Daphnia pulex: one gene and its partners. The protein of the gene in region 3 binds, or shares a complex with, the protein of the main gene of each other region. Links are inferred from orthologs where the notes say so. Each region holds a gene or a part of one and is shown on either strand. Other genes may lie near its edges.

The links.
Region 1: the proteins of eukaryotic translation initiation factor 2 subunit 1-like (region 3) and translation initiation factor eIF-2B subunit alpha-like are in contact, whole or in part, in a cryo-EM structure (PDB 6K72), measured with the Homo sapiens proteins. The link is inferred for Daphnia pulex from reciprocal best matches to the Homo sapiens genes EIF2S1 and EIF2B1. Residues at the interface, in NP_004085.1 of Homo sapiens: Ala28, Glu29, Met30, Tyr33, Gly44, Met45, Leu47, Leu48, Arg75, Lys80, Tyr82, Ile83, Asp84, Arg88; in NP_001405.1 of Homo sapiens: Gly39, Thr41, Ile42, Gln43, Gly44, Leu45, Arg46, Ala47, Asn48, Glu70, Arg74, Ser77, Ser80, Leu81, Glu82, Tyr83, Ser84, Asp85, Tyr86, Cys89, Leu305.
Region 2: the proteins of eukaryotic translation initiation factor 2 subunit 1-like (region 3) and translation initiation factor eIF-2B subunit beta-like are in contact, whole or in part, in a cryo-EM structure (PDB 6K71), measured with the Homo sapiens proteins. The link is inferred for Daphnia pulex from reciprocal best matches to the Homo sapiens genes EIF2S1 and EIF2B2. Residues at the interface, in NP_004085.1 of Homo sapiens: Leu51, Ser52, Arg53, Arg54, Ile56, Asn60, Lys61, Leu62, Arg64, Arg67, Lys87, Ser91; in NP_055054.1 of Homo sapiens: Glu92, Arg95, Gln128, Ser131, Asn132, Glu135, Ala136, Glu139, Val142, Glu143, Glu145, Glu149, Asn150.

The regions. Positions count from the first base shown.
Region 1 is NC_060023.1:2,531,100-2,534,780, reverse strand, and holds translation initiation factor eIF-2B subunit alpha-like, read right to left. Parts: upstream 2,207-3,681; 5' UTR 1,856-2,206; coding exon 1,843-1,855; intron 1,784-1,842; coding exon 1,676-1,783; intron 1,608-1,675; coding exon 1,468-1,607; intron 1,404-1,467; coding exon 1,026-1,403; intron 967-1,025; coding exon 841-966; intron 781-840; coding exon 622-780; 3' UTR 555-621; downstream 1-554. Other genes in the region: uncharacterized protein LOC124198557, read right to left, coding at 1-147, 204-339; palmitoyltransferase ZDHHC6-like, read right to left, coding at 2,534-2,666, 2,736-2,926, 2,992-3,207, 3,270-3,410, 3,481-3,560, 3,616-3,681.
Region 2 is NC_060019.1:5,860,679-5,864,187, forward strand, and holds translation initiation factor eIF-2B subunit beta-like, read right to left. Parts: upstream 2,208-3,509; 5' UTR 2,068-2,207; coding exon 2,003-2,067; intron 1,923-2,002; coding exon 1,836-1,922; intron 1,769-1,835; coding exon 1,490-1,768; intron 1,426-1,489; coding exon 1,269-1,425; intron 1,201-1,268; coding exon 1,006-1,200; intron 942-1,005; coding exon 745-941; intron 671-744; coding exon 598-670; 3' UTR 532-597; downstream 1-531. Other genes in the region: asparagine-rich zinc finger protein AZF1-like, read left to right, coding at 1-148. UniProt on the Homo sapiens protein: Acts as a component of the translation initiation factor 2B (eIF2B) complex, which catalyzes the exchange of GDP for GTP on eukaryotic initiation factor 2 (eIF2) gamma subunit.
Region 3 is NC_060028.1:8,095,338-8,098,766, forward strand, and holds eukaryotic translation initiation factor 2 subunit 1-like, read left to right. Parts: upstream 1-1,098; 5' UTR 1,099-1,260; intron 1,261-1,370; 5' UTR 1,371-1,386; coding exon 1,387-1,624; intron 1,625-1,687; coding exon 1,688-1,916; exon of another isoform or gene 1,917-2,002; coding exon of another isoform or gene 2,003-2,039; intron 2,040-2,083; coding exon 2,084-2,432; intron 2,433-2,494; coding exon 2,495-2,576; intron 2,577-2,641; coding exon 2,642-2,745; 3' UTR 2,746-2,830; downstream 2,831-3,429. Other genes in the region: uncharacterized protein LOC124208437, read right to left, coding at 41-153, 222-355, 430-576; reticulon-4-interacting protein 1 homolog, mitochondrial-like, read right to left, coding at 2,003-2,039, 2,860-3,038, 3,104-3,429. UniProt on the Homo sapiens protein: Member of the eIF2 complex that functions in the early steps of protein synthesis by forming a ternary complex with GTP and initiator tRNA. This complex binds to a 40S ribosomal subunit, followed by mRNA binding to form a 43S pre-initiation complex (43S PIC).

The DNA of each region.
Region 1 (3,681 bases), on a different chromosome or scaffold from region 3:
GCCTTTCTGAATAGGCAGCAACAGCATCTTGCTCTTTTTCTAAGGCATTAAACTTCATTTCCTTCAGGGTATGATTCAGACATAGTTCTGTTATTTTATGTTTCTTCCCAGAAGGAGGTAGGGATGAGTCTACCGCAGCACAAGCAGCTGTAAAAACTTCATAGTGAACAAATTGACAAACAATATCCACAACATTTCATTACCTCGAAAAGTTGAACCAGAACCACCACCAGTAATACTTCTGTTAAGACTTGGTCTCCTCTTTATGAAGTCATCAATGTTGTTTCTTTCTCTTGGAAATTTCTCCGGAATGTGGTCTTTATTTGGCTCATTTAACATCTTTTTCCTCACAGTTTTCTGTAGTTGTCTCAATTAAACTTTGTTATTATTCCCTAATTTTGATTGTTAAAAAGTTAGAGCTAAATTAGCACCAACGCTAACAACTTCAACGGTTTCCAATTTGAAGTGCATCGTTCGAAACGCCACCTTGCGACAGATGACCTTACTGCATGTTATATTTTCCACACGCGCAGGAAAATGTCTAAAATCACAAAAAAAGTGACATGAACGTGTATTTTATTTACACATTTATCGATGTTTTTATATTTAGACGACTCTCTTTCATAGATAAAGTTTAATTAATTCATCACTGACGGCTGATGGAGTGAGAATTCCCAAATCTGTGAAAAGCAAAGTCAAATATCCTGGTGGCGTGTAATCAACTTGAGGATGCTGATCGAGAAGATTAGAATGATTGGATTCAATAATAGTTGACGAGAACTAAAAAAATTCAACACAAGTTTCAGCATTATGGAAAATTGGTTAAAAAATTTAACATACTTTCAGTTCTTGGGGTAAATCGCGTTGGTTCAGCGGGTAGAGACGGACAAATTTGAAGCTCTCAGCGAGAACGTAAAAGGGTTTGTGCATTTCCTTGGCACACAGCGCCATAGTATATGTTCCAATCTATTTCAATAAATTTTTCAATTTTTTTAAATAGTCAAATAAATATATTTTATCCGTACCTTATTGATAATGCCTCCGCTTTCAACAACACCTTCAGCTCCAACAAGCACTAAATCCACTGATTCCATGACATAACCCATGGCCGAATCCAAAATGAGAGTCGAACCAATACTGTGTTTCAATAGCTCGTCTCTCATAGCGACACCACTTAGATCCGGGTGAGATTCAGTGATGAAAACATGGAAACGTTTTTTGGATATAACAGCTGCTTCAACTAGTGTTTGTAGAACCACTCTTGATTTGGAGTGAGTGAGGATTTTGTGTCCATCAAGAATAAAAGGAGCCCCTAGTCTTGCAATTTTAGGTCTAGCCTCTTGTAATTTCCTTAGAAAAATTTCTCCTCGTTTCTTCATAATCTCCTTGCAATCTTTGAAATTCTAAAAAGAATGTTTTATTTTAAATCTATTAAAAATTTATGATTCATATTTATAGACAACATACTGATTGTTCAAGAGAAGTAAGTGTGATAAACCGTTGAAACAGTTCACAGCCTGATTGAACTGATGTAATTGAGCATTCAGCTTTCTTCATTTCTTCTGTTGCTTTTCTCAGTTCTTCCGACAATCCACGAAGAGTTTCACCTGTGAATATGATAGTCTTTAATGTTGATAATGATTATGCTTATAGATATTATTTTGTTTTTACTAACCATCACCAAAGTTTTCCAATATATTCATTAATGTGCGGATAGCTGCAACAGCTGCTGAAACATCCGGCTCTTCTTTCACAATTTTTTGGAAAAAATCCAATACATTTCCTAAAAGCACATTGATTACATTAGTTTTTTTATTAACATTATTTAATAACTAAACCTACTTGTATTTTCCATTTTATACTTATATCTTTTTTGCGCACTAGTAAACTTTTTTCCTCTCTACTTAACTTGGAGTTTCAGCTAGAAGAGCAGCACAGCAGCTTGCCAGCTTGCCACCGTTCCAGCAGCAGACGACACAATGAAAAGTCAACACTCCAGTCAGTCAAAACACTTGAGTACTGTACTTGTTTCTGATTGGCCCTCACCGATTAGTCCCAGGGAAGGATCTGCCGAGAGCCCTAGATTGATATGTCCATTATGTCACACGCAACCGCAAACATTCATAAACTGCTGTTATCGTTTGATGAAAGAAGAATACTTAAGTCATTCTATTCTTTTCACATTCCGCGTTAAAAACAAAAATGTCGTCGTCAACGTTGCCATTCTTCATCGTGCATGCACACAGGTACGGGTAGGGTAGCACCGGTAGCACGACCGACGAGCGACGACCGCACGGCGCACGAGATATCTGTCGAAAGTGAAATAAACGTTCATTTTGCATTTTTTTTTTTATTTTTTTAACCATAGTTTATTTCAAGATTTTGTGAATTTGTCAGATGAAAACCACCCGAAACATTTTAGACAAGGTGCAATTTTAGGTGCTTTGCTTCAAAACAAAGTGGTGTGTAAATAAAAGTAAGATTATTGGAACTTTTTGTTGTCTTATCCATTCAATTAAACTAATTTAAACAATCATTCCTCTTTTTCATATTCCACATAGGAAGGAGAGCAGGATGTACGAGGAAACCAACCGCGCAGTGCTCGGCGCTCAGTTGGATTCATTTGAACTTGACCCCTTTCTTGAATTTCGCCGTAAAGCCAATATCTGATTAAAGGACAATTATAAAAGTTTTGAAAGGCAAAAATTTCTTGTTGGAAGTTGTTTTTATCATACTTTTTCCATCGAGTAACCGCCACCTTATCTCCAATCTGCAGAGAGATGCGTGTCTCGTCGGTGTATGGTGGCTGAAGACAAACCATAATGCCGAAACTAATAATAGGGAACCACCTTCCACTGTATGCTTTCTCTACTACGTATTCTACGCAGCGTTCCCTTTTAATCTTTTTCTGTTCAATTTGTTCAATCTGTCAAAAATGAATAAATAGCTATAAAAGGTAGAAAATCTATAGAACTATGCATAGGATTATACCGTGAAAGCGTATGGATGGCAATTGTCCCGGACTTTCCACTCGATGCCATCACCTTTAGGCTGGAAAGAGAAATTTATTACTTCAACCAGATTCTTTCGCCATCCTAAATTGTAGGGGTGAATGAAAGAGGGTTCATCGGTTCCTTCTCGACGATAAACAGCTTTTTCATGAACCCAGTCTTCAATGCCTGTTTGATTTCTTAAAACCACTTTCATCTATGAAAGAATCAATCACTTTTAGGTTAAATAAAGAACATATAATCCAAAGAAATTCAAACCTGGACAAAAAATAGAAAACCAACAGCAAACACTACTCCGGCTGCTAATCCTAAGGAAATCAGACTCATCACAAAAGGCCATAGTCCCAATATTATAAAAGGCACTTCTCGTAGATTTGAATGGTCGTAGTAATCAAATGTCTATTTTTAAACAATATGATTCGTTTTTAAATTGTTTGTAACAAGCATACAAATTTTAGATTTAGCCAACCGGGTGAAGAGCTCTGTACATGGTGCATGAAATTATTACGATGGCTTGGGCGCATCCAATAACAGCGGAAATGAGGAATGCTAACGAAACAATGGTGATTTATGAAACATAATATGAATGATTAGGTATTATTACCAAGAAAGTTGGTGTGATTGAAATGTCCAAGGCAGTTATTTATAAATATGCAGTGATGATCACGTT
Region 2 (3,509 bases), on a different chromosome or scaffold from region 3:
TTCACCCAGGGTATTTCAACCCAAAAACACGTCCACACCAGATAAACCCAATAACAGCACCTTAATGCGAGCACTCCAAAACGCCGAAAAACAATGGACTGGCGCGATTGCTTTGATGCAGCTGGCCTCTTCAAGTTCGCAGTGCTGAAAAGAAAATGAACATAATGAATTCACCAAAGTTTTGTCTCTCTCAATAACCTATCCTTCCAATTCTGTCAATTTCTAATCTGCTGTTCCATTTCCTTGTAATTGCTCAGTGAAAAACGGTATTATTTTCGCTTATTATGATATTTCTCCATTTCCATCACTACTTTATTTTGAGAACTCTTTCTCGTACCTGAAAGATGAATCGACTGTTCTCTTCACTACTTATTTAATTTACTCTCTCCTTTCGATCCAGTGTCTTGATGAAGCTTTAACCAATCGATTCGTGCTTTTGGTGTTTACTCTTTTAATCTTGCTGATAGAGAAGACCAATACTTAGAACCCAACTGTAGTTTTGAAACGAAACAAAAATTCACTCCATGTTCGTAATTTTCTTAGTGCTGTGTGTTTATGTATCTCGGCCTTTTTAATACAAAGCCATTTTTTCCCACATTACAATTGCACGTCCAAAGGGTGGTACAGTTCACTGAGGAGTCGGTAGATGTAAGACGGTGCATTGCCTCCGCTAGAGAAACAAGTGTGATTATAAAATAGATACTTCTTCATTATCTTCAAACTATTTAAAAATAATTCGCTTACGTATTTGAAATAAAGAGTGTGACGAGCTCTGGAGGTACGTAGTCGAAAATTGGATTGTAGACGTTCACTTTGGAAACGAGCTTGCCTTCGTCGTTGTTCAATACTTCCTCGGGTGACACAAACTGGTTGAATCCATCTTGATCAAGGCTACAGACATATTCGGGACAGAGTTTAAACATTGGTGCACATACGACGAACTGAAATCATAAAAAATAAATTATTTTAGCTGAAAGTGTAGGCCTACAAAACTTATTCCATTACCGGAACCGAATAATGCTTTGCAGCCAGTGCAAGGGTATGAGTGCCACACACTGCTTTTAGACCACCGTTGGCCATAACAGAATGAGTACCGATGATTACTTTATTCACACGTGCCATCATTGCGAAAATGGCAGAATCCGGAATAAGGGTAGTAGAGATACGAGCTTCGGCTAAATCTGCAGCCAATTGATGTCCCTGTAATAATAGTCTGGAGTAAATATACAGGTGTTATGCAAATAAACGTTTTCAAATTCGCTGCCTACGTGGAAAAATGGAGCACATTCAGCAACGATGACCTGGAAAACACGATTTTTCGCAGCTGACTTCAGAAACGCCGAGACAGTTTTAGAATAACCAATAGTCATGATGATTTCGTTAGCGTGAATGTGTTCTAGGGCCTGGGCGGAAATGTCGATTTCACTGTGGAAACAAATTAAGGTAGTTGAATAGGCTGTGAAGCTAGACATGTGGTAAATTCTCAAACCTGGATTCTAATTCGGCAAGGAACTCTCCAATGTGCTCCATGATGGCTGGTTTGAGCAAGGGGATGTTTTTAGTGTAATCAGAATCACTTTCATCTGCTGTGAGAATTTTTTGAAGTGAGTCTTGCAAATCAGATTCTTCTTGTTTTCCTTTCTGCAGCATGGCATACTCATCCCTGACAATCTTTAACATTCTTCTTGTCATGTTGCCAATGACTGTTTCTGAAGGTGCAGTCTCTGCCAAATCTTTACCTATTCTTTTTATGGTGTCCATAAGCTCCCTACAGATTGAATTGAATCACTTAATAACTGGAACAGGAATTCTGGACTTGAGATAAACTAACAAACCTTGCATTCTGCCATTTCATTTGACCAATGATTTTTTTCCAAAGCTGTACGGAATTAAGGGCCAAGTCTCTCGATCCTTTGAACTTTCTACGAATAAAAAGAAACACAGAATGTCAATAACGAGATGGAATAGCCAGCATTACTTCTATGGCCTATAACAATCATACCTTTGCTTAAGATTGTTGGTGAAAGTTTCAATTATACCTTCAATTTCACTTTCAAGACTCGGCATTTTCACACTGATTTTCTATAATTTATTCTGAAATAACTGGTTTAAAGACAGATAATAAAGTGAAGTAGTTCACTGGAGAAAACGAGAATTTTGCAGCGTATTGTTTATTTACAAAGTTCGTCTGCAACTGCAACTGCTACTGCGCGAGTGCCCGATCGCTCAAATACGTACATCATCTTTCGAAGAAAGCCTCTGAAAAAGCGATCTGGTTCGTTATGGTTGGTTATGCCTGGGCTTATGGCATATCCATATCTCTATAGGCCCTACCATACCCCTGGTTATGGTTGGTTTGATAACAGAGTGAGTGTAAGATAAGTAGATAAATTCGTCATCTTTTATGCTTTTACTCGTTATCTTTTATTGTCGTTGCGCACACCTTTAAATTTGTGTTATCTATGATAATTCAACCAATAAGATTATTGGTGCGATTACAATCAGCACTGCCTTAATACCCAATCTAAAACGATAGCCAATCCCGATTGCGTAAAATGTGCAAGTGTACACTCTACGTCAAGACAAAATGTCATCCATAAATTCAGAGTGATTTCGCGTTAACGTTTAATGTTTTTGGGTCTTACTTTGATATGTATCCGGGGCGTTGGAATCAACCACATAATAATATTACGTCAAAGATCGTCGTAACAATTTACGGCCAAGTTTTGATTAGGTCGAAGTAAAATTTTTGGTGAGGGAGCTTTCACCTAACAGCACCACTACCTTTCTCGGTAAAAATGGGCGGCCACACGCTGTCAAGAGGTGCTGCTTAACTATATACAAAACTTGGATCAGCGAACACACGAAGAAAGACAATGGGAAGATCTGACCTGAACCTGTGGGTAAAAAGACAATGGAAATAAAACCCGAATCATCCCACATGGAAAAATGCCATAAAACCCCTCGTCGTGAAAGAGGAAAAATCTGAATTTCAACTTGGTAACAACTTGGTAACACTTCCAAGTTGGATTTCGCTCCTGCATTTATATTCATTCCGTCGTATACGTACAGTATATATTGTGACTTGTTTTTCACGATTACTCTTGACACAATTTTAAATGAATGATGGGCTTCTTACGCTGTCGCCTCTTTAGAATGTTTTTCACATCCTACTACATTTGGAGCAGCGAAATTAGACATTGTCGGGAAACTTATTTTTGTTCGTTTCTGGTGGGCCCTGGTGCCTACGTCTTAATCAATACATCGCCGGCGAAATAATGTGACAGCTAAAGTAAATAAAGACAAACCTGTAGGCGTCGGATACAAGACCATTGATTGAATAAAGCGATAATTTAATCACGGGACGCTCGATGGTGTCTAAGTACCGGGAGCAAGCCCGTTTATTTATAAACAACAATGGAGTCGGAATCAAATTGATTTTGATGTTTTCCGGCCAAAAAAAGAAAAAAAAAAGTTTAATATCTTGACCTATATCTTTGCTGCTGTTT
Region 3 (3,429 bases):
ACATAGGATCAAAGCATTCGGATATTAGTAACCACATTACAGGTCGGTCTCTCGCACGATTTGCAGCAAAGTACGAGAAGTGCGCCCACTGAGATAAGTCCCAAGATACCGAGTACGCAATAGCAAACGGCAAGGACAGCTGACGCCTTTAATCTAAATAATAAAATCACGTTACCGTTCAGAAAAACAGATGGCAGTATAGTTAATATTTTGTTATTTACAATTTGATACTTCTGTTCTTTTTAGCAGCTTTTGCAATGAATGCAGAGATCTGACAAATGCAGATGGATGGAAATAGTCCAAGACATAAAAACAATATGTAGTCTCGGCTGGGATCCATAAAACTTGCCAATATCTTCAATGACAACAACAATTTCATTTTTTAAAATTATCATTTTCCTCTTAAACTGAGTTTTGTGTGTTACTTGCCGGAATCAGAAGAACGAGCGATGGGAGAGTAATCGCACTGTTGACGGTGTACATGGATTTTAGTATTCTTCTGACTCGATTATCATTGAAGTAAACATCGGTAACTTCTCCATTATTGGTTACATCTTCTTCAGTGAACCGTATCATTTTTACGCTATAAGTAAATTACACGGTGTGCAGTGAATTTTGAAACTGGGTGATACAACAACCAAAAGAAACACACTGGAAGGTTCCACTGAATGGTGCCGACAAACGACGACGACGAATGTTCGTTTTTAATGTTTGTGTTCGTCATATTCGTGCGTATACTGTGTGCAGATAGTAACTTTTTTGAGCGTTTCTCATATAGAACGATAGGAAAGATAGATAAGAAAATAGTGCGATTGGTCAGGTCAATAGGTTTGATGCGCGATCGTTTCTATCAAACCAGCTTTCACTTCAACGTCTACTTTCTAAATGTGATACTTAAAAAAAAAAACAATTCTTATCTCAGGCCGGTCAATAAACGTTTGGTTTGGAGATGTTGTTAATGCAGAATTTGTGGTGAATATGTTCAAGCCGTAATTAAGCCATTGGATATCAATTGAAATTGGTTTCGTTAAACAAATTATGGATACATATTTATTTTTAAAACAAATCACGAAACACGGGAATGCGAATCACGTTATCGGATTGCGCACCATTTTGGCAACGCGGGACTTTCCACATGCTTTTACCGTAGTCTGCTTGTCCAGTGGATTTTCATTGCTGACGTAAGAAACGCTGCTGTCCCGGCATCACCTTATTTTTTGGATAATCCCTCACATTTATTCTTTCTTCTTAATACGTTAGGTAATTTAGGAATAGAAAAAAAATTCTAGCTTAGAGAACATAATCTTTAACGTGGAGGAAAGCTGTAATTTCGCTATCTAAAATGTCGGTATTGTTCACCATCCACCTAGGCTGCCATCGTGAAAAATGCCCTTATTTTGTCGGTACTACGGTCAAAAATATCCAGAAGTGGATGATGTAGTGATGGTGAATGTGAGATCCATTGCTGAGATGGGAGCTTATGTGCACCTACTAGAGTACAACAATATTGAGGGCATGATCTTGCTCTCTGAGTTGTCCAGGAGGCGTATCCGTTCCATTAACAAGCTCATCAGAGTTGGTAAAACAGAACCAGTTGTAGTTATCAGGGTTGACAAGGAAAAAGGTTTGTTTAATTTACTGTTTGGGTTGTTTCTTTAAATAACCAATTTTCTTCATGTCACCACAGGTTATATTGATCTGTCAAAAAGACGTGTTAGCCCTGAGGATGTAGACAAATGCTTGGAGAAGTATTCCAAGGCCAAGGCAGTAAATTCAATTTTAAGACATGTTGCTGAACTCTTGAAATATCAGACTGATGAAGAGCTTGAGGAACTCTACAGAAAAACAGCTTGGCTTTTTGAGGAGAAATCCAAAAAGCAATCTTCTTCATATGATGTCTTCAAGCAAGCTGTCAAGTAAGTTTTTTCTTTATTCAACCCCAGTTAGTTTTGTTACATTACTACATTTCACAAATTTGGCACACCTTGTTCCTGTGCAGCTTCTATGCAAATCCCTCCATACGGTTCAATGGCCGGTTCCTAAAATTTCAAGAACATAATATTAGTTTATTTTGAATATGTAGTGATCCTTCTCTTCTTGACGAATGCGGCTTGGATGACAACACAAAGGAAGTGCTACTGGGGATTATTAGGCGGAAGCTGACTCAGCAAGCTGTGAAAATCCGAGCTGACATCGAGGTGGCCTGTTATGGCTACGAAGGAATTGGTGCCGTTAAGAAAGCTTTGAAAGCTGGAATTGCCTGCTCCACTGAAGAGATTCCTATAAAAATTAACTTGATTGCTCCACCACTTTACGTCATGACTACGCAGACGCCTGAACGTCAAGACGGACTCAAAGGACTAGAATTAGCCATAGAAAAAGTGAAAGAGATAATTGTTGCACTTGGTGGCGTTTTCAACATTCAAATGGCTGTAAGTTCATCTCTCGTCTACAGATCAACAACCTAAGTATAACGCAATTTCTATTTTAACAGCCCAAAGTTGTTACTGCTATGGATGAAGCTGAATTGGCTCGCCAGATGGAGAAGGCTGAGTTGGAGAATGCTGAAATCGCAGGTAAGGATGGAGTCGGATGTATAATTACGAAAAGAATCTATATAGCTGGGCATATTTATCAACAGGTGATGACGATCAATCTGACATGGAAGCTGAGGGAGCAGGAGCCAATGACGCTGGAAGCGGAGAGGAAGGTGGCGAAGAAGGCGAAGCGGAAGAAGAAGAATAAAGATATACCGCACTCTTATTTTTTACAGACGATGGAAATTACTGCGCTTGGCGCAACTCCGCTCCGATTACACAACTTGAGTGAAGATTCTTTTGTATATTTTTTTAGCAGTACCTAAATCGTATGATGATTTTCCCGATGTGGTCACCCTGGGCGGCGTATTGTCCGGCTTGTTCAGCTTGATCAATTTCAAACACGCGCTCAATAACTGGTTGAAGATGTCCTTTGTTGACTAGATTTGAGATTTCATCCAAAATTGAGGTGGATATTACGGTCGAACCACAAATAGAACTCTAAGAACAGGTGGAAGTTAGTCATTTAATGCTTGGAAGCTTTTCAGGAGCTGGGCTGGACTAACCTTGAGAAATACGAGTTTCATTCGAAGCCACATAGAGTAGAGTGATCCGTAAAACAAGCCATATTTGTCAGACGCAGGTGGGGAGGCGACGGTTGAAACTACCAAACCTCCTTCTCGACAGAGGACACGGCACGAGTCGTGCAAAATCGAGCCAACGGTATTGAGCACAAGGTCAAACTTAGGAAGAGACGACAGCAAAGAATCAAAATCCAAATCATGGCCATTATGAAGAATAAGTTCATCTACACCCAATTGCTGGGCGGTAATCATTGCCCGTGAACTGACAGTAGCAGTAACATGCCCACCCCAGGCTTTCAGCAACTGCA